5 linked regions of the Oryctolagus cuniculus genome follow. The protein of the gene in region 1 interacts with the protein of each later gene in a biochemical or structural test. Links are inferred from orthologs where the notes say so. Each region holds a gene or a part of one and is shown in the gene's direction. Other genes may lie near its edges.

Region 1 (4,568 bases):
GCCGGCGCACCGCGCTGATCCGATGGCAGGAGCCAGGAGCCAGGTGCTTTTCCTGGTCTCCCATGGGGTGCAGGGCCCAAGCACTTGGGCCATCCTCCACTGCACTCCCTGGCCACAGCAGAGAGCTGGCCTGGAAGAGGGGCAACTGGGACACAATCCGGCGCCCCGACTGGGACCAGAACCCGGTGTGCCGGCACCGCAAGGCGGAGGATTAGCCTAGTGAGCTGCGGCACTGGCTTATGTTTGTTTTGATCTAAATATTTTTTTACTTCTAAATGATTTCACCTTTAGAGTTACAAGGAGGTTTAAGTTTCCAAACATTTGGAGTGTCTTTGGCTCTTGCCTGTGGTCGAAGAATACGGCCTGTGTGAGATTCACTATTTGCTATCCGTTAATGAGATTTGTTTTGGTCACTTTTTGTAGATGTCTCTTATATGATTCAAAGAACCATGCTGCGATAAAGGTCCTTTCAGCATCTCTGACCAGCATTAGTCATTGTATTAATATCTTCTAAATCCTTTGGGCGTTCAGTTTATTGGTTACTGTAAGAGGTATTTAAAGATTTATTTATTTATTTGAAAGTCAGAGTTACACATCTTCCATTTGCTGGTTCACTCCACAAATGGCTGCAATGGCAGGGCCTGGGCCAGGCTGAAGCCAGGAGCCAGGACCTCCTTCAAGGTCTCCCACATGGGTGCAGGGGTCCCAGGTCATTAGCAGGGAGCTGGATAGGAAGTAGAGCAGCCAGGACTCAAGCTGTGCCCATACAGTATGCCTGGGCTGCAGGCAGTGGCTTAACCCACAATGCCACAGTGCCAGCCCCGTGAAAGAGGTCTTAAAACTCTGCCTACAGGGGCCAGTGTGTGTCATAGCAGGTTAAGCCACCACCACCTACAACACCAGCATCCCACAGAGGTACTGGTTGTTGTCCCAGCTGCTCCATTTCCAATCCGTTTCCCTGCTAATGTGCCTGAAAAAGCAGCAAAAGATGGCTCAAGTGCTTGGCTCCTGCACCCTCATGGGAGACCCAGAAGAAGCTCCTGGCTTCAGCCCAGCCTAGCCCCAGCCACTGCAGCCACTGGGGGAGTGAATCAACAGATGGAAGATCTCTCTCCTATAACTCTGCCTTTCAAATAAACAAATCGCAAAACAACTCCCACTGCAATGGCAGAATTGGCAGTTCCTCCTATTAGTCTGTCATTTTTTTAAAAAAATATTTTATTTATTTATTTATTTTAGAGGTAGAGATTCAGACATTGAGAGGGAGAGACAGAGAGAAAGGTCTTCCATCTGCTGGTTCACTCACTCCCCCAGTGGGTGCAACAGTCAGGAGCCAGGACCTTCATCCAGGTCTCCCACTTGGGTGCAGGGGCCCAAGCACTTGGGCCATTTCTACTGCTTTCCCAAGCTTACTAGCAGGGAGCTGGACTGGAAGTGGGGCAGCCAGGACCTGACCAGGTGTCCATATAGAAAGCCAGCACCGCAGGCCAGGGCTTTACCCACTGTGCCACAACATGGACCCCCCATCTCCCAAACTCTTGAAATCACAGCTTATCAGTATTTTTCCTTTAGAGGTTAGAAGGTACTATTACATCTTTCTCAACTTTGTACACTTAGTGCCGAGAAGTTGGCTGTTGGCATAACGTTTTAAAGTGAATCCATCCTGGCCGGCGCCGCGGCTCACTAGGCTAATCCTCCACCTGCGGCGCCGGAACACCGGGTTCTAGTCCCGGTCGGGGCGCCGGATTCTGTCCCGGTTGCCCCTCTTCCAGGCCAGTTCTCTGCTGTGGCCAGGGAGTGCAGTGGAGGATGGCCCAAGTGCTTGGGCCCTGCACCCCATGGGAGACCAGGAGAAGCACCTGGCTCCTGCCTTCGGTGCCACGGTGGCCATTGGAGGGTGAACCAACGGCAAAGGAAAATCTTTCTCTCTGTCTCTCTCACTGTCCACTCTGCCTGTCAAAAAATAAAGAAAGAAGTGAATCCATCCTTTTGTGGTAGCTTTTAAGATCCAGCTTTTGGAGTTCTGAAATTCACTGCAAAGCTGTCTCGGTGCTGACTTTTTAGCTCGGCTTGCTCCAGGGTAGTCCCCCCCTCCCCCCCGATTTATTTATTTATTTGAAAGGCGGAGAGAAGAGGAGAGGGAGGGAAAAGAGAGGGGAGAGAGGGGAAGAGAAAAAGAAAGAAAAGTCTTCCATCCGCTGGTTCACTCCCCAGATGGCTGCAACGGCCAGAGCTGTGCCTATCTGAAGCCAGGAGCCAGGAGCTTCTTCCGGGTCTCCCACGTGGGTGCAGGGGCCCAAGGACTTGGGCCATCTTCCACTGCTTTCCCAGGCCATAGCAGAGAGCTGGATCAGAAGAGCAGCAGCCGGGACATGAACCAGGGCCCATATGGGATGGCGGCACTGCAGGAGGCAGCTTTATGCGCTGGCCCCCGGTCCAGGTTTTCCGTGGGAGCCGTGGTCTTGAGCAGCGTAGGGGGACCCGCCCCTGCTCTCCGCTGCCCTGCTCGGCCGGACCTCGGGTGCTCCCTGCCCCTCTGCCACGGGCCCCCGCTGTCCTCCACCACGGCCTCTGGGTGTTCTGGGCCCCCTCCAGCTCCGCGATGTTCTCTTCTGCTGTCTAACCTGCTTCCTTACCTCATCGTCTGAGGCCTGCGTTTGCACGGCTCGGTTTTTGAACTCTAGAATCCTTCCTCAGACCCAGGCATTGCTCCCCGGCGCCGTGCTTTCCTGGCGTTTAACCGCCCCGTCCCCTGAGCCTGGCTGTTCTCCTACCCCAGGCCTCCCGCGGGCCCCGCAGCGCCGAGGGGACGGGCCGTCCAGGGCGCGAGATGCGGGCGAGGCCGCGCCTTCCCTCAGCCGCCTCACTCCCACCTCGGTCTAAACCGGAGAGGAGCCGCGCGGGCCGTGATGTCACCGAACTGTGACGCGCCCCAGCGCACACAGACCCCAGCCCCTCCGCGTCTCTGCAGAGAATCCAGGCCCGCGGCGCCGTGACGTCATGGTCTGGGCGGGCGGCTTTTGCGTCGGGCCAATGGGAGCGACGCGCCGGCCTCCCCTTTAAGGAATGTTGTGACCTGACGTCACCGGAGCGAGTTACCTCCCGCCGCCGCTGCCGCCGCGTTCAGCGCGAGCCCCGGAGCCCTTGAGCGCGAGGCGCGGAGTCCCCGGAGACCCCGGATCACAGTCCCCGGATCACAGTCCCTTCCTCGAGCCGCGCGCCCCGGAGTCCCGGCTGCGCGCCCCACCGGGCCCGCGCGATGCCCTCAGACAGGCCTTTCAAGCAGCGGCGAAGCTTTGGTGAGGCCTGGCGGGCGATCCGGGGACAGGGGGTGGGAGATCCCTGGGGGGCAACCGACCCCCCAGTGCCGCAGGTGACGTCAGCCCCATGACGTCAGGCTCCGGCCTACCGGGTCTGTGAGGCCGCTCTGGCCTGGGCTGGGGCTACCCGCCTCCCCACCGTGTCCCCAGTCTGGGGCCGAGAGGCCGGACGGCTGGGGGCGGGGGCGGGGCGGGGCCGGGAGCCGCCCCTCGGAGACCGGCGGGCGGAGCCGCAGGGAGGACCTCAGGCCGGCCGGTCTCACCGCCCCGCCGCTGTCCGCTGTCCGCAGCCGACCGTTGTAAGGAGGTGCAGCAGATTCGTGACCAGCACCCCAGCAAGATCCCGGTGAGTCCCTCGGCCCCGGCCCGGCCCGGCCCCGCCCCCAGCCCTGGCTCATTTGTGGTCCACCTGCCCGCTCCCAGGTGATCATCGAGCGCTACAAGGGTGAGAAGCAGCTGCCAGTCCTGGACAAAACCAAGTTCCTGGTCCCGGATCACGTCAACATGAGCGAACTGGTTAAAATCATCCGGTGCGCAGGCAGCAGCTGCCCGAGGGGCTTGGGTCGGGTCTCCTGGAGGAGTGGAGTGAGGTCAGGGGCGTAGGCCTGGCCTTGGGCCTGCGTGCTGGGGAGCTGGGAAAAGCCAAGGCCCGAGCTTGAGTCCTTGTGGGGTGGGAGGTGAGGGCCTCTGGCAGGGAGCAGGGCCACCCTCCCTCACCACGGGTTTGCCCTTCCTGCCTGCCCCAGGCGCCGCCTGCAGCTGAACCCCACGCAGGCCTTCTTCCTGCTGGTGAACCAGCACAGCATGGTGAGCGTGTCCACGCCCATCGCCGACATCTACGAGCAGGAGAAAGACGAGGATGGCTTCCTCTACATGGTCTACGCCTCCCAGGAAACCTTCGGCTTCTGAGCCAGCAGTAGGGGGGAATTGGCCTGGGAGTGGGGGACCTGGTCAAGCTCTCCCCAGGGAGCGCCTGGCTCCTGAACTGAGCTGCCCCTGGTGGGCTGGGCAGGCATGTGGGCCCCTAGCCAGAGGGGCCCAAACAGCCCCCTCTGCTCCTCAGTGGATCTTGGGCCAGTCACATTAGGGTTGCCCCTCTGGGTGCTGGTTGGGATGGGGAGGGTGGAGAGCTGCCCCCAGCACCCCTGCTCTGTGTGGTTTGTTTTTTTTAGGCCCCTGCCTGTCTGCCCCTCATCCTCCTGAGGCTCTGTCCCCTGCCTGGACCTGTCCACCCCTGAAAGACTGGCC
Region 2 (4,023 bases), on another chromosome or scaffold:
TGGTCGTTTTCCTCTTTATTTCAATTCTTCAGAGTAAGTTCTGTGGGGCGGGCCTGTGAGTGTTAATGTTGCCACCTGGTAACTGGTTTCACCACAGCTTCTTCAGCTTTGGTTGTCTTCTTTCCCACTCTGCTTTTTTGTTTTTTCCAAGTTGTAAGTTTCACCCTTCCTTCTTCCCCACTGTATCTCCTGAATGTTGTCTTCCTAGTAATAATGTGTGTGTGTGTGTGTGTGTGTGTTTCTGTCTATTTATGTGAGAGATAGAAAGAGCTCCAGTCTGCTGGTGCATTCCCCAAGTGCTCGTAATGGCCGGGATTGGGTCAGACTGACAGATGCCAGGTGCTGAGAACTCACATGGGTGGCAGGGATCCATGACCCCGAGCCGTTGTCACTGCCGTCCTACCGTGCATTAGCAGGAAGCTGGGGTAAAGTGCCAGAGCCAGGGCTCAAACCCAGGTGCCCTGCTGGCATCCTGACCACCATGCTAAACACTTGCCCCTTTGAAAATATTAAAGGTTTCTATCTTTTCAAATCTTCAGACACAAAGAGCTTTATGTTTAATTTAGACAAAGTTCTTTGTAATGTGAAAAGAATCCCAAGAAATTCAAGCCTTTTGACTTCTGAAGATGACCCGATAAAGCAAGCTTCTCAGACTGTGTGAGGTCCTTCATCTTGAATTGTTTAACCTTTTACTAAGACGGGCGAGGACGAGTCACTTAAGTACAAAGAGTAATCTGTGGGGATGATTTTGCTTCCTTTCTGCTGTTTTTAGGACTGAAAGGACCAGATATGTCATTCATTTCAGTCTTGCTGTTTGTTTTGCCCTTGTGAAATGGGAGTTTTACCTTAACTGATCAACCAGTGGCAGAATTAGACTGCAGAAACTGTGGTTACTCAACTTCCTCATCTGGATACATACTTAAATATATAAGTGTATATTTAAAAAGTTACCAAGTGGCTGGCACGCGGCTCACTAGGCTGATCCTCCGCCTGCGGCGCCAGCACACTGGTTTCTAGTCCTGATTGGGGCGTCGGATGTCCCAGTTGCTCCTCTTCCAGTCCAGCTCTCTGCTGTAGCCCGGGAAGGGAGTGGAGGATGGCTCAAGTGGTTGAGCCCTGCACCTGCATAGGGAGACCAGGAGGAGGCACCTGGCTCCTGGCTTCAGACTGGCGCAGCGCGCCGGCTGTAGCAGCCATTTGTGGGGTGAACCAATGGAAGGAAGACCTTTCTCTATCTCTCTCTCACTGTCTAACTCTGCCTGTCAAAAAAAAAAAAAAAGTCATCAAGTATGATTCCATTTATGGGAAGAGTGGTTGCCGGGGGAGAAGGGGAGGAGAGAGAAGGGAGTTTCTTTTGGTAGGTATGGGGGGTGTTGGGGGTATTCAAAGTGTTTTGGGACTAGTAGCTGATGGTGGCACAAGCATCCAGGTATACTAAAAGAAAGGCCCACTAAACTATATACTTTAACATCGTAAATTTTAAGCATCCAGGTTTCAGTGGAAAATATTTGTTTTTTAAGATTTTTTTGTTTATTTGAAAGAATTACAGAGAGAGGGAGGAGAGGCAGAGAATTTCTCATCCGCTGGTTCACTCCCCAAATGGCTGCCATGGCCCGAGCTGGGCTGGTCAGGAACTGTGAGCTTCTTCCAGGGTTCCCATATGGGTATGGGGGCCAAAGGACTTGGGCCATCCTCTGCTGCTTTCCCAGGTGCATTAGCAGGGAGCTGGATGGGAAGCAGAGTACCCTGGACTCAAACTAGTGCCCATATGGAATGCCGGCACTGCAAATGCTGGTTTAATTCACTGTGCCACAGCACCGGCCCCCAAAATATTAATTAGTCAGATTGCATTGGTGGTCAAGCATGGCAGAGTCCGTGGGAGAAGGCTGCCTGGTCATAGCCATGTGACTCTGGGATCCACCTCATGGGTGACTTGGGCCCACAGGAGGCCTCTGCCTGGAAGACAGCCCCCGAGTCCCTTCGCCAGGCCACTTCCCCTGGCTGGGGAGTGGTCAGAAGTAGCCGTGGTGGTAGAACTCTTCTGGCATCCTGGCTCCATAGGCCTTAGAGCCGCCTGTGGGGCTTCCAGTGACTCCTGCACTCGCGGGATCTCCACGCCTCGAGGAGGGTGGCTGATTCCAGAGTTCATTCATCTTATTTTTAGAGAGGCTCATGTTTGCTTTGTATACAACAGGTGCTTAATTGTTGAGTTTCACCAGTAAGACGTGTCAGAAATCAAAATTTCATTATCGCAGGCATGCATAGGTACAGTCATCCTCAGTATCCCAGAAACTGGTTCCAGGAGCCCCCATGGATACCAGAATCAACCGTGCTCCAGTCCTGATGTAAAATGGTGTCATCATTGCATGACTTACACACATCCTTCAGTGCTGCATACACGGTGGTTACCCCACAAGATAAAAACATCTGCACGTTACCACAGGTGCAGTTTTTATTTTAATTAATATTGTCAATCCGTGATTAACTTCGTAACTGCAAGACCCATGGATCCACAAGGCAGCTGTACGTGAGCAGCATGGCTTCCTTCGTAACGTGTGTAAAGTATTAGAGAATGGTAGCCGTGTGGAGGCCATGCCTGCTCACGTGGTGCACTGGGTGTGCATGGTTCAGTGAGGAAGAAGCTGAGGGTCCAGGAGCCAAGTTCTGATCCTCATTCTGCCACTTGCTGTCTTTTCCATTGTTGTTCAAGTGTCTGTTACGGAGCTTCAGTTTTCTGTCTGTATAATGGGGTGACAGCAGTGACCTCCCAGCGTGGTTTTGTGAACTGATACACACGTGGTGCGTAAAGCAAATTGTGTTCATCGTTATATTTTTAGCGTGTGATAGGTGAAAGTACTCAGAAATCAGAAGCTCTGGGTGCTGGGTTGTGTTTGAGATGAGAATATGGCAAGTCAACCATGCTTTCCTCTCTTCATTAGCTGTGAGAAATTACATGAATACATGTGTTTCCATTTGATGTTTGGTGCTGCACTAATACCGTGTGTTATGTCTTTTATTCTAGGATCTAAAGAAGTACCACTTCTACTACTGGTTTTGCTATCCCGCCCTCTGTCTTCCAGAGAGTATACCTCTCATTCAGGGGCCAGTGAGTTTGGATCAGAGGTTTTCACCAAAACAGGTATCAGCACATAAAACAAAGTACTGGTAACATTGGCTTCAGTGTGCAAATGTTGGTATCTGGACAGACGGGCACTGCTCTGGACAAGGAGGTGCTAACTCTGGAAGCCTCCGAAGCTGGCACTGGGAGCAGGCTTCTTTTTTCTTTTCTTGTTTGGAAGACAGAGTTACCAAGATAGAGAGAGAGACAGAGGTCTTCCATCTGCTGGTTCACTCCCCAAATGGTCATAATAGCCAGAGCTGTGCCAGGCTGAAACCAGGAGCCCAGAGCTCCTTTCAGGTTTCCCAAGTGGGTGCAGGGGCCCAGGTACTTGGGCCATCTTCCACTGCCTTCCCAGGGAGCTGGATCGCGCACTGGCTGCCATATGGGATGCCAGCGTCACAGGCAGTGGCCTTACGCACTATGGTACAGTGCTGGCCCGGGAACAGACTTCTTGACAGAATGTTCACAGGGTCATTTTGCAGATGCAGTCAGCAGGAGTTTTCCAGGTTTCCATGGTGTTTGGTGAGATGCTAAGCCAGCAAGGAGGGTTACAGGGACACTTTGAAAGACTGCAAGAATCTACCAAAACAGAGTCTTCACACTGAGTGGAGGGAAACCTAAGGCATCGTTCTGCGGGAAGAGCGTCTGAAATCACACAGCCCTCTGCCCTCTGCCCTCGTGCACGGCGGCAGGACTGCCCCCTCAGGAGTGGCACGTGCACAGCCAGTGGGTGCCATCTCACTGGGAAGGAGGGTGAGGTCCTCGGAGGTGATGGGAGAGGAGCAGCTGGCACGATCAGGCTGCGGAGCTGAGACCCCGAGCCCGAGCGTTCCGACAGCTGTTCAGGCGAGGATTGAGCGTCACCACGACTGCATCACTACAACGCTGAGTGCTGAAGCCCG
Region 3 (4,460 bases), on another chromosome or scaffold:
CTTTAAACTGACCATAACCATTACAACTTCTTAATAAATAATCAGGAATAAACAGTACCAAATGCCAGACATTATTCTACACACTTTATACACACTAACTCCTTCAATCCTTCCAACAACCCAATAAGGTAGATAACAGTTATTATCTTCATGAACTACGCAAACTAAGTGGTTAAGTGGTCTGCTTAACGTCACACAACCAGGAGGCGGAAGAGATCTAAACCAGGCAGCCCAGGGCAGGTCCACATTCTCAACCCGTCTGCTCTGCTGAGACTGACATGCTTGGTACATTTGCAAATTCGCTATATGCAATACCTGACATGACAAATGCCAAAATTAATATGCAGAGTTAATACACTGGAAAGAAAGACAATTACTGAAGATGACGAGGAGAACCTATAATGAGGTTGCAAATATGAAGTACATTAGAAAAAAAAAGCAGGTTTCCTAGACTGCAAGCTTAATAAAGTGTCACCGTGGTTAAGAGAGAACAGATGCAAAAGCATCTCACCTTAGATTAAAGGACTTTCATAACAGTTCTACGTTAACGTATTATCCTCATTTTACAAACGGAGGACGAATTTATCTTCTCAAAATCACACTTAGCATCAGTGACAGAACCAAGATTAAAATTCAGGTAAGACTTCTCAAGCAATGCTATTTCTTCTGGCCTACTCCTTGAACAAGTTCTAAAAGAGTAAGAAAACCAGAGGGAATGATGGCATTTCATAACAGGAAGCTGACGGTTTTACTGTATGGGAAGAGACGGATGAGAAGCAAAAATGAAGACATACAAGTACTGGCTCGTACTACCGAGAGGCGGTGACAGTGGGCACCTTAACGCACTGCAACACAGAGCCCTTAGGAATAAGAGGTGGGCTGACGCATGAACGAAACGCTTCTCCCCTTAAAAGATTTTGTAACACAGGAGCCTGGTACAGCAACTAGAGGCAAGGAGACGCGGGCTGGAACAGGATTCGAAAAAGGGAAAAGAAAATGAATAGTCCACCCGGGATGTCAAGCCAAGAGACAGCAGCTAGGCCCCCTTCATCCAAAAGCATGCGTTCTCCGTCCACTTCGAGCCCCTCGGCGTCATCCCAAAGCCCATATAAAACGCCTACTTCGCCACTTCGTCTCCCAAACTACCTTGACTGTCTCCAGACTGGCCCCTTCCAGCACCACAATGAGCCTGCGGCCTCCGCTCTTGCTTCCTGCCCCGAGTCGAGGCCGCTTGGGCGCCGCAGCATCCCAGTCCTCTTCCCGCTCCCCAGAGCGCCACTCACGAGGCTGGAATTCACCATTGGGGGCAGCCATCTTGCCACCGGGCCGGAAATTGCGCCGGCGTCCTTAACTGAGGACCCCGCGTTCGTCCAAATGGCAAACTTCCTTCCGCCTGCCATTTTGAAAGTGGGCGCTGGAAAATGGCGACGCTTTGCCGTCTCGCGCTAGCGACGCCTCCCCGGGAGGGCAGGGTTCCAGAAGGGGGCGGGACTTCCGGGTGCGCGCGTCTGTGCGCGAAGTTTGGGTCCTCCTTGCGCGCAGGGGGCGGGTTTAGAGAGGAGCGCACTTCCGGTGCCCTTTCTCCCGGGAGCAGCACGGCCTCGAACCCTCGTGTGTGGGTGTGATCTCTGAACGAGTGGGGTCGAGGCGGGCCGCCGCCCCAGCTCTGACCTCCGGTGCCGCCGGCCTCCGGACCAGACATGGCCCAAAACTTGAAGGACTTAGCAGGACGGCTGCCCGCCGGGCCTCGGGGCATGGGCACGGCGCTGAAACTGCTGCTGGGGGCCGGCGCCGTGGCCTACGGCGTCCGCGAGTCGGTGTTCACCGGTGAGCAACCTCCACCGCTAGCCGGACCCCAGACCCCCGGCCTGCGTCGCCAGCTCCCGCGTTCCGCGAGCCCCTCACTCCCCCCGCCCTCAGCCCAGCACGTTCTCCGAGCAGCGCACTGGCCTGACCCTCACTCCTCTCCCCACAGTGGAAGGCGGGCACAGGGCCATCTTCTTTAACCGGATCGGGGGCGTGCAGCAGGACACCATCCTGGCCGAGGGCCTGCACTTCAGGTAATGGAGGGTGGAGCACAAGGACCCCGAAGCTCCCAGTCGCCGACCCACCGCTGGCTGTGGTCGGACTTGGAATGGGAGTCGGCGCTGCGCTTTCCCCGCCTCAGCCGCGTGCTGCCCGAAGTTGGATCAACACATGACCTGTTGTTCGCCCCTTGTCTGTGGTCACTGCGGGGAGGGGCAGGCCAAAGACCGCGTGGCGAGAGGAAGCCAGGCAATGCTGGGAAGCCGCAGTCTCCTAACACCTGTTCCCGTCTCTTCCCGCCAGGATCCCCTGGTTTCAGTACCCCATTATCTATGACATTCGGGCCAGGCCTCGGAAAATCTCCTCCCCCACAGGCTCCAAAGGTAGGTCTGGGTGCTTGAGAGTCACGTGGCAGATTGGACCCCCTAAAAATTGAATAAGGGAGCCCAACTAGAGACCCTTGGGGAGGTCCCTATGACCTTGGGTTCCACCTCTGCAGAAACAGCTCTAACAGAACCACCTGCCTCCCAGGGCCAACACGGTCCAGATACAGTGTGTTTGCATATTTTTATTCTTGGCACCTCCCTCCACTAACTCAGGAGAGCGCTGCCAGGCCTTTGTCTTACTCCCAAGATCAAAGCTTTATTTGAAAGCCTTTTTTCTCTCTTGCTTGACTCAGTAGCTCATCCATGAGTACCCTGTGTCCTGGAGAAATTTCTCCCCACTCCTGCACCTGCTCCTCTTCCTAGAAGCCTTTCCTTTGAGATTGCTTGGCCGCCTTTTCATCCCACCTACACACACACAGATGTGTACACACTTAGGCGAGTAGCATACCTGTAGCCTGTAATGTGCCCTGTACTGATTTTAGCACAGGTCCATTCTTCATTGGATAAATCCTGGGAGTAAAGGATTTCACTGTCTAGTAGAAGAGCCAGATGACAGGGCCTGCATTAGAGGGTGCATGAATACAATGGCAGAAGAGGAGTCGGCGCTGCCTTTGGCTCCCCAGATGCCCTCGTGTGTGGGCACACATGCTGTGTCTGTGTTCCCTGTTGGCCTGATTGCACCCCTTCCCCAAGGGGGGCAGCAGGCTGCGTGTCATTGTTCTGGGCCTAGGAAGAGAAAGGGCTCAGGGAAGGACACTCGTCCTTGGCCATCCACTGCTGACCTCACTCTCAGACCTGCAGATGGTGAACATCTCCCTGCGAGTGCTGTCTCGACCCAATGCCCAGGAGCTGCCCAGCATGTACCAGCGCCTCGGGCTGGACTACGAGGAGCGAGTGTTGCCGTCCATCGTCAACGAGGTGCTCAAGAGCGTGGTGGCCAAATTCAATGCCTCGCAGCTGATCACGCAGCGAGCCCAGGTCGGCCCCCCTCACCGTCTGCGCGGTGTCATTGCCCTGCTAGACCCAGAGAACTAAATGTCCTGAAAAGGCAGCTTCTTAGAAAAGGGCCATAGCTGCCGTTCCACTTCCACTAAAAGCTGAACTGATGGCCACGCGAGAAATGAGAAAAACCAGCACCAGAGCTCGAGGGCACTTGGGGAGGGAGCGAAGGGAAAACCTAGGCTTCTCCGGTGCCTCTTTCGGCACAGGGGCTTGTGTCACGGGTCGGCCCGACAGGAAGCTAAGTAGCGGAGACAGTTGGAGGACCTGCTAGCCTGGGGTGGCTGTCCCACCTCCGAGGCTGTGCCTCCCTCCCCCCCCCCAACTCCCCACCCCATCAAATGCGAAGATGTTCTGTTGAGGAACCAAGAGAGGCTGGGTGAGCTGATGGCCACACTTACGTGATCTGTGTTCAGGTGGTCATAGCAACACAACCTTCCTTTCAGTTCTCCAATTCCCACAAACCGGCCCTGCCCTCCCCTCCTCACCCCTGCCCCCAGGTGTCCCTGTTGATCCGGCGGGAGCTGACGGAGCGGGCCAAGGACTTCAGCCTCATCCTGGATGATGTGGCCATCACGGAGCTGAGCTTCAGCCGAGAGTACACAGCTGCCGTGGAAGCCAAGCAAGTGGGTGAGTTGCAAGGGGAGGAGGGCGCGGGCGTCTGAGAATGTGGAAGAACGGACTCTGGATCAGGCCCCTGACCTTCACATCTGTTGACTGTTCCCTCCGCCTCTCCCACCCTGTAGCCCAGCAAGAGGCCCAGCGGGCCCAGTTCTTGGTGGAAAAAGCAAAACAGGAACAGCGCCAGAAGATTGTGCAGGCCGAGGGCGAGGCTGAGGCCGCCAAGATGATATCCTTCTGCCAGAGAGCTCCACTCCTCTCCCCTGTGGGCCGGCTGATGAGACTAAGGCGAATGCGACTCCGGCTCTCTGCCCCTGGGCTCCGGGGGTGGGGTGGGGGGGCTGCAGATGGGATCTGAGATCTTAGTGGGGGGCCTGAGGCCTGGCTCCCCACTGTAAGGTCAGATCAATAGCGCAGTGGCCTTGCCTC
Region 4 (4,023 bases), about 5.6 Mb from region 1:
ACCAGGAGCCAGGAGCTTCTTCCAGGTCTCCCATATGGGTTCAGGGGCCCAAGCACTGGGGCCATTCTCTGCTACCTTCCCAGGCGCATTAGCAGGGACCTGAATCAGAAGTGGAGCAGCAGCCAGGACTCGAACCAGTGGCCAGATGGGATGCAGTGACTTTACCCACTATGCCACAGTGCTGGCTCCCATAACATGCGTTTCTGTGAGGTTTTTTAATTAATTAATTTATTTATTTATTTTGCCAGGCGGAGTGGACAGTGAGAGAGAGAGACAGAGAGAAAGGTCTTCCTTTGCCGTTGGTTCACCCTCCAATGGCCGACGCGGCTGGCGCGCTGCGGCTGGCGCACCGCGCTGATCCGATGGCAGGAGCCAGGTACTTATCCTGGTCTCCCATGGGGTGCAGGGCCCAAGCACTTGGGCCATCCTCCACTGCACTCCCTGGCCACAGCAGAGAGCTGGCCTGGAAGAGGGGCAACTGGGACAGAATCCGGCGCCTCGACCGGAACTAGAACTCGGTGTGCCGGCGCCGCAAGGCGGAGGATTAGCCTAGTGAGCCGCGGCGCCGGCGGTTTTTTAATTTATTTTGAGAGGCACACACATACACAGCTCCCATTTGCTGGTTCACCCACCAAATGCCCACAACAGCTAGGGCTGATCTAGGACAAAGCTAGAAGTTAGACTTGCAGCCCAAGTCGTGCATGCTATGGTGGGAGTCCGATTACTCGAGCCATCACCTGCTGCCTCCCAGGGTGTGTGCCAGCAGGGAGCTGGAGTCAGGAGTGGAGCTGGCACTGCAGGCACTCAGGCGCAGGTGTTAACTGCGAGGCAAACACGGGCCCTCCGTGTCCGTCTTAAGACTCCTTGTACTTCAGGCCTGGGCAGCCTCGGAGACCCCAGTCAGGTTTCCAGCTCCGGGATGCCCCACACTGGCTTTTCTTTCTCCGTCCCTGCCTCCTTCCTTGTGAGTTTCTTCATTGGTGGAGATTTGCAGTGATTCCCTGAGCATGGACAGCTGCTGCAGGGCCAGGGATGGGCGGGGCAGGGGTCTGTGAGTGGTAGCAGCCCCCCCAACTTCGCCTCCCCCCTTGCTACCTATCTTTGGCCTCTCCAGCTCCCCTCTGCCTGCTACTCCTGCCTCCCCCCAGTGGCCTCCCAGAACTGCACCCTACATTGGGACAGCCTTGAACTATGGAGGGGGTTGGGGGCCCAAGAGCTGCCAGGTGTCTCCATTACAGGGAGCCCCCCATTCCTTCCTGATATCACTGTATTTTTGTCCTCCAGGGGCTGCATCCCACCCGGGAGCCCCTCGCGGGGCACCACAGGAGGCGCCATCACTTCCTGCCGAGGTTCCTGGGGCCTCTGCACCTGCTGCAAACCCCAGCATCCCCCACGCTGGCCACAGAGAGGAGCCAAGTTACCCCTTGCCTGTCCAGGACACCCAGCCTCCCAAGTCCCTGGGAGAGGTGCGTCCTCACCGCCCGCCTACCTGCTTTTGTGTTCCTGTCTGCCCGCTTCTACCCTCTCAGGCCCTTACAAGAAGGGGGGCTGCCTCAGACCCACCTCAGGCGGCTGGCCAGGCCTTCAGCGTGTTGCTGCCCACAGCCCTCTGCCTCCAGCTGGCTTGGAGGCCACCGCTCAGAGGGCTCCGCGGTGGCCAGTATGAGATGCGGAGCTGGGGGAGGAAGCTGGGGCTTGACCAGCTGATGGGGAGGGTGGGACGAGGGAGCAGACAGCGAGCTGCAGTGATTGCCAGGAAGATCAAGTCCAGGGGAGAGAAGACTGTGTCTACTGAGAGGTCAGGAGTGGGCAGCGGGCACCCAGGAGACCTGGAGGCTAAGAAGGGGTCTGTGCGTGGCTGCAGAGAGGGGGACCCATCCCCGGGGCCACAGGTGGACAGGGACTGCCCTTGGGTTGATGCGTGTCTTCTGTGAGGTCAAGGCAAGGTTGCCCATGGACACGGGGTCCGGCTGCGTCTCCTTGGCTCCCGGGCTCTGTGCGGTGGCTGAGCCCTTCGGTAGCGGGGGTCCCCGGAGCGTGAGGCGCTCTCTGCCAGCTCTCAGGGGACGCAGCTGCTGATTTTCCCTCTTTCAGGGTTCAGAGCAAACGCCACACACACCCAGCTCTGGGGTCCTCCTGAGGACACCCAGCGTTCCCCTGGAGCCCTCCTCCTCTGACCCAGCAGCCCTCGGCCCTCCAAGCCCCAGCAGGCCTCAGGAGCAGGACACAGACTTGGCCAGCATCCACACAGCAGGTATGCATGGAATGTGGCGTTACAAGGTCTCACTGGCCTCCCCGAGAGGGTGAGAGGGTCAGCGTCAGGGTCAGAATGACTCCTCTGTCCTCCTGGACCAGAGACAAAGTGGGAATAAAGGGAGCAGAGGCTCCTTAGCCAGTGGATGGGGACGTGGTCACTGGCTAGGATGTGGTCGCTGGCTGGGGGCATGGTCACTGGCTGGGCAGATGTTGCAGTACATTGCTGCCCAGGTGGGGGAAGAGAATTAGGTCCATTTCTGCCCCCTGTCAAAGGGTGGGATGGCCAGGGCTGGGCCGACTGTTGGCAGCAGAGCTCACTTGGACACTGCCCTACCCCGTAAGTGTTGTCAGTTCCCAGCAAATCATCAGCTGGGGCCTGGCCCCACGCCAGACCTCAGTGCTGCCCCTCAGGAACGTGGAGCCGTCCGCCGCGACCTCCCAGGCCCACACCTCTCCACTGCCTCCCAGAGTGTGTTCCACGGGATGCTGGTGCCTGGCCAGCTCTCAGGGCCCCTGGGAGGCACCGAGCAGCTAAAGGCTGGGAGATGCCAGCTTAGTGCCCCCTCCTGCAGCTACCCCCAACCTGTTCACAGCACCTGCCTTGCACTTTGCCATGTCAGCTTTCCCGGGATGCCTTTCAGGAGGTGCCGTGGGGTCTGGGGTGGAGGTGGAAATGCACTTGGGTTTTAGGACATTTGTGGTCATGTGTCCCCAGAGAGTCTGTGCCACTGTTGTTGGGAGGAAGGCCCAGTGGAGTCACCCCAGGGAGACGTTTGTCCTGACAGGACATCTGTGTCCCACATCCGGGTACCTGGGTTAGAGTCCTGGTTCCAGATTCCGACGCCAGCTTCCTGTGCGTGCGGATCCTGGGAGGCAGCTCTGATGGCTCAAGTAACTGGGTTCCTGCACCCACATGGGAAACCTAAGTGGAGTTCTTAGGTCTGGCTTTGGCCTGGCCTAGCCAGCCTCAGCCATAGTGGGCACTTGGGGAGTGAACCAGAGGATGCGAGGTCTCTGTCTACCTTTCAAGTAAATAAAAATTAAAAAACAGAAGAATCACCCGATTGTCAGCCCTGGGGCCTGGCATGTGTGTTCCCGGCATCCCACGGAGGATCCTGATAAAACTGCGCTTCCTCTTGGGGCACTTTGTCCCTGCCCCCACATCTTCTGGCCCCTGGGGGCTGGTAGCTTCTGGTGCCACTTCAGCCTGAGCCGTCCTGCTCTCCCTGGCCTGATGCAGGATCGTCCCACTGGGATGTGCCCTGGGGGCGGGGGGACATCAGTGCTAGGGGCGTCCCAGGTCCCACCTGGCTAGGGAGAAGGTGGGAAAAGCAGGTGCAGGTGAGAGGGGGTGTCCTGGGCGGGAGAAGAATTCACGATAACCTTGCGGCTCCTGGGTCTTGCCAGGAGGAAGGACAGTTAATGCCTGTGACAGGGCAGACCTGGGGCTACAGGTCAAGGGCAGGGCAGCTGTTGGGACTCAGGCCAGTGGCTGCAACCATAAGGCCTGCAGCTGCAGAAGGCATGCTGAGCTCGGGCAGGGGGCCCTTTTGCAGCCCTTGGGATAACAGTTCCTTGGGTTTGTGTTTCCACTTTTGCTTTGCCACCTGCAGGCTCCGGCTCCAGCCCCGCGCCACCCTGCGGACCTGTGTCTCCGTCCGTCTCCTTCCAGCCTCTGGCCCGTTCCACTCCCAGGGCGAGCCGCTTGCCCGGACCCGCCACGTCAGTTTCATCCGCTGGCACCTCCTCACCCCCTGGCTTGGCTGC
Region 5 (4,696 bases), on another chromosome or scaffold:
AATGACAAAAGGCATTATTTTTTAAAATTCTGCACGGGCCGGCGCCGCGGCTCACTAGGCTAATCCTCCGCCTAGCGGCGCCGGCACACCGGGTTCTAGTCCCGGTCGGGGCGCCGGATTCTGTCCCGGTTGCCCCTCTTCCAGGCCAGCCCTCTGCTGTGGCCAGGGAGTGCAGTGGAGGATGGCCCAGGTGCTTGGGCCCTGCACCCCATGGGAGACCAGGAAAAGCACCTGGCTCCTGGCTCCTGCCATCGGATCGGTGCGGTGCGCCGGCCGCAGCGCGCCGGCCGCGGCGGCCATTGGAGGGTGAACCAACGGCAAAAGGAAGACCTTTCTCTCTGTCTCTCTCTCTCACTGTCCACTCTGCCTGTCAAAAAAAAAAAAAAAAAAAAAAAAAAAAAAAAAAATTCTGCACGAAGCCTTGTGTAATTAGACGGTTTGAATTCTCTACAGTTTACATATAGGTTTCCAATGGGGTGAGTGGTGACAGCCTCAGCTTTCTCCAGCCATCCAGGCTGGCTTTTTTCTTTCTTTTTCATTTTCTTGATTAAAACCAAAGGCACTGCCACCAATCACAGCAAAACCTACACCAGGAACACTCGCCACCCCTGCCTTTCCCCAGAGCGTCCCACAGACCTGCTCCAGCACCAACGCACCCGGAGCATACATCTCTCCCGTCCCCTCCCCAAAGTGCCTACGGATCCAATTCCAGAGGGTTCTGTCTCACACAAAATCCTGTCTCCTCCTCTTCCCCGACAATCCTGGGCCTTCTTCCAGGTCCCTGCCTCTGGCATTCTTACGCTCAAGGTGTCCCCTGCACATCCGGTCACCCGGATTCCCTCGGACACACCGTGGCCTGTCCTTATCCTCGGTGCCCGCCTGGTGACTCAAACTGCCCCCCTCCCCAGGATTCATCTCAGAGCCACACAGCCCGTAGGCCCTTCAGATTTCACCCCCACACCCTCCGGCCCGAGGAATGCCCATCTCGCTCTCCTTCGGGAGACCACTCTTCTCACAGCTGTTTGTTTCTCAACTGACCACCTCCTGGCTCCCTCTTCATTTCCTAGGGACTCTCTCACCTTTAACCAGATCGGAGTCCGGGCTTTCCGGGCCCTAGGGCCCAGTTATCTGAGAAACCGCCCCCCGACTGTAATCGGTCCAGAAAGCCGCAGAAAACTCACGACGCGCAGTCTCAGTTTCAATTTATCTGTAATTCCCGCGCTTTCGGTCGCCATGGAAACCCGCCGCTCCCGCGGAGCTATAGCCTCTCAGCTTGCGAGATTAAAGGACGTCAGCGGAAGGGCGGAGCAGGAGCCTCCCAGCTCCGGATTGGCCATCCTCTCTTGCCCCACCCCACCCCCGCATGACGTAATTAGAAAGCGACGGGAGAAAGACTTCTGAGTTTTCTATTAGGTGGCCGCCCCCTCGCCTCTACGCTTCTGGTTACAGCTTATTACGTCACAGTAATTGCTGGACAAGGGTTGGAATCACTACCTGAGGCCTGAATATGAGCGCAAGGTAGTGCTCACAGCAGTCGCAAGAAGAGAGCCCATCCCCTCACCCTTTCCGCCGCAATGGACGTGCCCCGTTTAGGTAAATAAAAAGATTGTCGGGGGAAAGAAACTACGATCTCCAGCATGCATTGCGTAACGAAAGGCCTTCGCCACAGTGTTCCTTGGAAACTGTAGTCTTATGGAGAAGAGCTCCCGACTCTGGAAACGGGCACGATCCTCGCGACACGTAGTTGAAAGACTGGAGCCATCCGCGCGGTTATGCACGTCGACAGCTATGGACTGGAGTGCTGTTAGGTGTTTATATCTTAAGAGCGGACGCTAAAGAACCTGTAAGTTCCAGGAAGACTACAATTCCCGTCAGGCCTCGCGTGTCCACTAAGGTCAGCGACCTGAGGGAAGGCGGAGGACGCGGAGTTTGCTTGGGGAGGGGTAACCCGCCCCAGCCTCGGACTGCGCATTCGTAGTTCCGCCCCTCGGCCCCGGTGTTTGTTGTTGTTGTGAGGGTCAGGTTGTGTCTTCCCCGCCCCCGCCAGGGCAGTCTCAACCAATCAATGGGGGGGTGGTCGTTTTGAGGGACAAGGGTAAGAGCCAATCATCTTGTCGGAAACTCGGAGGAAACAGGGGACTAGGCCCTGTCTCTCTCCGCCATGTTAGATTCTGCCCGCAGGGAGAGCAGCAGAGCTGGCAGCGAACGGTCTTTGCACTGGCCTCCGGCAGGCGCCCCCCGGGGGCGGGAAGCTGGTAAGCAAGCTGCTGCGGTTACCTAGGAGTGGGGTCACGTCACACTGAATGGGTTTGGGGAAGTTCAGGGGAGGAACCCTGCAAATAGGGGCGACTTTTTCCGTGTCTAGGGGCAGCCAGTCTTTTCAGTGACAAGACGAGAGCCGTTCGCGCTCGGAGGGACCGAGGGAGCCGATGCCGCCGGCGGGATGGAGGGGCCGTGGCTCAGAACGCCTGGCTTGTACCGACGGGAGGTCGGGATCTCCCAGTACAAAGAGGGCCTAGGCAGAGGAGTAACTCCTTAGGGGGCGATGACAGTGTGTTGGGGACATGGAGTGCGAGGCAGACGGGGGGCTGGAAGAGCAGGATGAAGACGCTCCCCACACATCCCCCTCATCACATCGTCCCCTTTCTGAGACCCGCGTCCAGAGACCTTAGGGAACTTCGGTATTGGAAAAGCACTGTTTATCTCTTTTGTCAAACACCTAGCTTTCATATCACACTAAAAGCCCGGATAGGACAGTAATCAAAGCTCGCAGTCCCAGGTCTGCTTAATTAAAAGGATTTTTTTTGAGGCTAAAAAAAAAAAAAGAAGAAGAAAAAACCGACGTAGAGGAAAAGCTGACTTGTGCCAAGCTAAGGTGAGTCAGTGACATGAACTTATAATACCAGTTATGAAAGCCGAGGGCGTGGGCCCCAGCTACCTGACTGTACGGGCCCTACATCTATAGAGCCACGGAACGAGCCAGAGTTGAAGTATTTCCAAAGTTCAAGATTTATGCTCTCGTTTGAAAGAGTTTTCACATGAACGCCAAAGAGATAGGCAGTTCTTTATGAAGACCTGGCTGTGGTCCAGCTAAGCTAGAATCTCCCACTTCCTGTTTGCTCCCCGTTGGCAGACCAGCTGGGTGAGTGCCAAGTATCTGAACTAATTTCTAATGGGATAATTTGGGCAAGAAGGAGGAAGATTGGTTTCCTTCCGGACTTTCAAAAGTATGAGAATGTGTTTCTTGACATTGGAAACTAAAAGTATATTTCAGAATATTCACTTAGGGCAGGCTGAGTTAGTCACTTCATTTCTCTGATTTTTTTTTTGCACAAGGTCACAGGGAATTGTCAGGGATTCTACCCATATCATAAGGACCCCAAGAGATGTATTTCATGTGAATGACTGCTAGAAGTCAGTAGGATTGCTGCGAGTCTGGCATTACTTTGTGGTGAATTTAAGTGGAGAAAAAGAATGGGAAAATTTGCAGAGATCATTGAGTAAGTTTATAAAAATGAAATCCCGATCTTCAGAGATTTCAGAGTCTTTAAAGTGGCAGTCTCAGTTGTATTGTTTGAGAGTAGTTCGTTATACTGTGAAAAAAAAAATAGTATTTTTAAGCTTCTGAAGACTTATTTGAGGGAAATACATGTTCATTCCTAAACCTTTGCAATGGCTGGGTCTGAGCTAGGTAGAAGCAGGAGCTGGGACGTCAACCCAGGTCTTCTACATGGGTGACAGGTACCCAACTACCTGAGCCATCGCTTTTACCTCCCAGTCTGCATTAGCAGGAAGCTGGATTAGAAGCCAAAGCCTGGAACTGAATCCAGGTACTTCAGTGTGGGATGTGAGTGTCATAACCAGCAACTGTAAACTGCTAGGCCAAATGGCTACCCCTGAAGACTGGTTTATTGTAGTAATGTCCTTTTTTTTTTTTTTTAAGATTTTATTTATTTACTTGAAAGGTAGAGTTGCAGAGAGAAACTCTTCCATCCACTGGTTCACTCCCGGAAATGGCTACAATGGCCAGGGCTGGTCTAGGCTGAAGCTGGGAGCCTAGAACTCCATCTGTGTCTCCCATGTGGGTAGCAGAGACCCAAGTACTTGGGCTGTCATTCACTGCTTTTCTAGGCATGTTAGCAGGGAGCTGAATCAGAACTTTGATATGGGATGCAGGCTTAACCTGCACCAGAACACCTGTACCCTATTATATTAATTTCTTCTTCTTTTTTTTTTTTAAAGATTTCTTATTTATTTGAAAGCGTTACAGAGAGAGATAGAGTCAGAGAGAAAGAAAGGTCTTTTATCCGTTTGTTCACTCTCCAAATGGCCACAACGGCCTGAGCTGGGCGGATCCAAAGCCCGGAGCCAGGAGGTTCTTCCGGGTCTCCCAGGTGGGTGCAGGGGCCCAAGACTTGGGCCATTTTCCACGGCCTTCCCAGGCCATAGCAGAGAGCTGGATCAGAAGAGGAGCAGCCAGGACTCTAACTGGCGCCCATAAGGGTTGCCGGTGCTGCATGCCAGGGCTTTAACCTGCCTCAATACAGCGCCAGCCCCTATTGTATTAATTTCTATACTTGAAAAATGTTTTCAAAGAATTTGCACACAGATTTTATCTGATCCTTACAATAACATTGTGAGACAGGCAAAGCAAAGAGATTAGATCTATTTTACAGATTAGAGAGCTGAAGCTCTG

What was found.
Region 2: the proteins of MAP1LC3A (region 1) and ATG7 form a complex in vitro, tested with the Homo sapiens proteins (2 studies listed by BioGRID, with this or other methods). The link is inferred for Oryctolagus cuniculus from reciprocal best matches to the Homo sapiens genes MAP1LC3A and ATG7.
Region 3: the proteins of MAP1LC3A (region 1) and PHB2 form a complex in vitro, tested with the Homo sapiens proteins (2 studies listed by BioGRID). The link is inferred for Oryctolagus cuniculus from reciprocal best matches to the Homo sapiens genes MAP1LC3A and PHB2.
Region 4: the proteins of MAP1LC3A (region 1) and MAVS form a complex in vitro, tested with the Homo sapiens proteins (2 studies listed by BioGRID and IntAct, with this or other methods). The link is inferred for Oryctolagus cuniculus from reciprocal best matches to the Homo sapiens genes MAP1LC3A and MAVS.
Region 5: the proteins of MAP1LC3A (region 1) and NBR1 form a complex in vitro, tested with the Homo sapiens proteins (2 studies listed by BioGRID and IntAct). The link is inferred for Oryctolagus cuniculus from reciprocal best matches to the Homo sapiens genes MAP1LC3A and NBR1.

What each region holds. Positions count from the first base shown.
Region 1 is NC_091442.1:23,538,422-23,542,989, reverse strand, and holds the start of MAP1LC3A (microtubule-associated proteins 1A/1B light chain 3A), read left to right. Parts: upstream 1-1,670; 5' UTR 1,671-3,259; coding exon 3,260-3,299; intron 3,300-3,610; coding exon 3,611-3,666; intron 3,667-3,743; coding exon 3,744-3,850; intron 3,851-4,066; coding exon 4,067-4,229; 3' UTR 4,230-4,236; exon of another isoform or gene 4,237-4,492; 3' UTR 4,493-4,568. UniProt on the Homo sapiens protein: Ubiquitin-like modifier involved in formation of autophagosomal vacuoles (autophagosomes). While LC3s are involved in elongation of the phagophore membrane, the GABARAP/GATE-16 subfamily is essential for a later stage in autophagosome maturation.
Region 2 is NC_091441.1:115,796,531-115,800,553, reverse strand, and holds part of ATG7 (ubiquitin-like modifier-activating enzyme ATG7), read left to right. Parts: intron 1-3,022; coding exon 3,023-3,139; intron 3,140-4,023. UniProt on the Homo sapiens protein: E1-like activating enzyme involved in the 2 ubiquitin-like systems required for cytoplasm to vacuole transport (Cvt) and autophagy.
Region 3 is NC_091440.1:102,571,286-102,575,745, forward strand, and holds the start of PHB2 (prohibitin-2), read left to right. Parts: upstream 1-1,522; 5' UTR 1,523-1,700; coding exon 1,701-1,827; intron 1,828-1,975; coding exon 1,976-2,060; intron 2,061-2,328; coding exon 2,329-2,408; intron 2,409-3,204; coding exon 3,205-3,389; intron 3,390-3,910; coding exon 3,911-4,040; intron 4,041-4,156; coding exon 4,157-4,260; exon of another isoform or gene 4,261-4,296; intron 4,297-4,301; exon of another isoform or gene 4,302-4,460. Other genes in the region: EMG1 (ribosomal RNA small subunit methyltransferase NEP1), read right to left, coding at 1,147-1,314.
Region 4 is NC_091442.1:29,184,644-29,188,666, forward strand, and holds part of MAVS (mitochondrial antiviral-signaling protein), read left to right. Parts: intron 1-1,284; coding exon 1,285-1,466; intron 1,467-2,094; coding exon 2,095-2,254; intron 2,255-3,869; coding exon 3,870-4,023.
Region 5 is NC_091448.1:19,834,057-19,838,752, reverse strand, and holds the start of NBR1 (next to BRCA1 gene 1 protein), read left to right. Parts: upstream 1-1,384; 5' UTR 1,385-1,843; exon of another isoform or gene 1,844-1,894; intron 1,895-2,168; exon of another isoform or gene 2,169-2,255; intron 2,256-2,723; exon of another isoform or gene 2,724-2,875; intron 2,876-3,336; exon of another isoform or gene 3,337-3,500; intron 3,501-4,696. UniProt on the Homo sapiens protein: Ubiquitin-binding autophagy adapter that participates in different processes including host defense or intracellular homeostasis.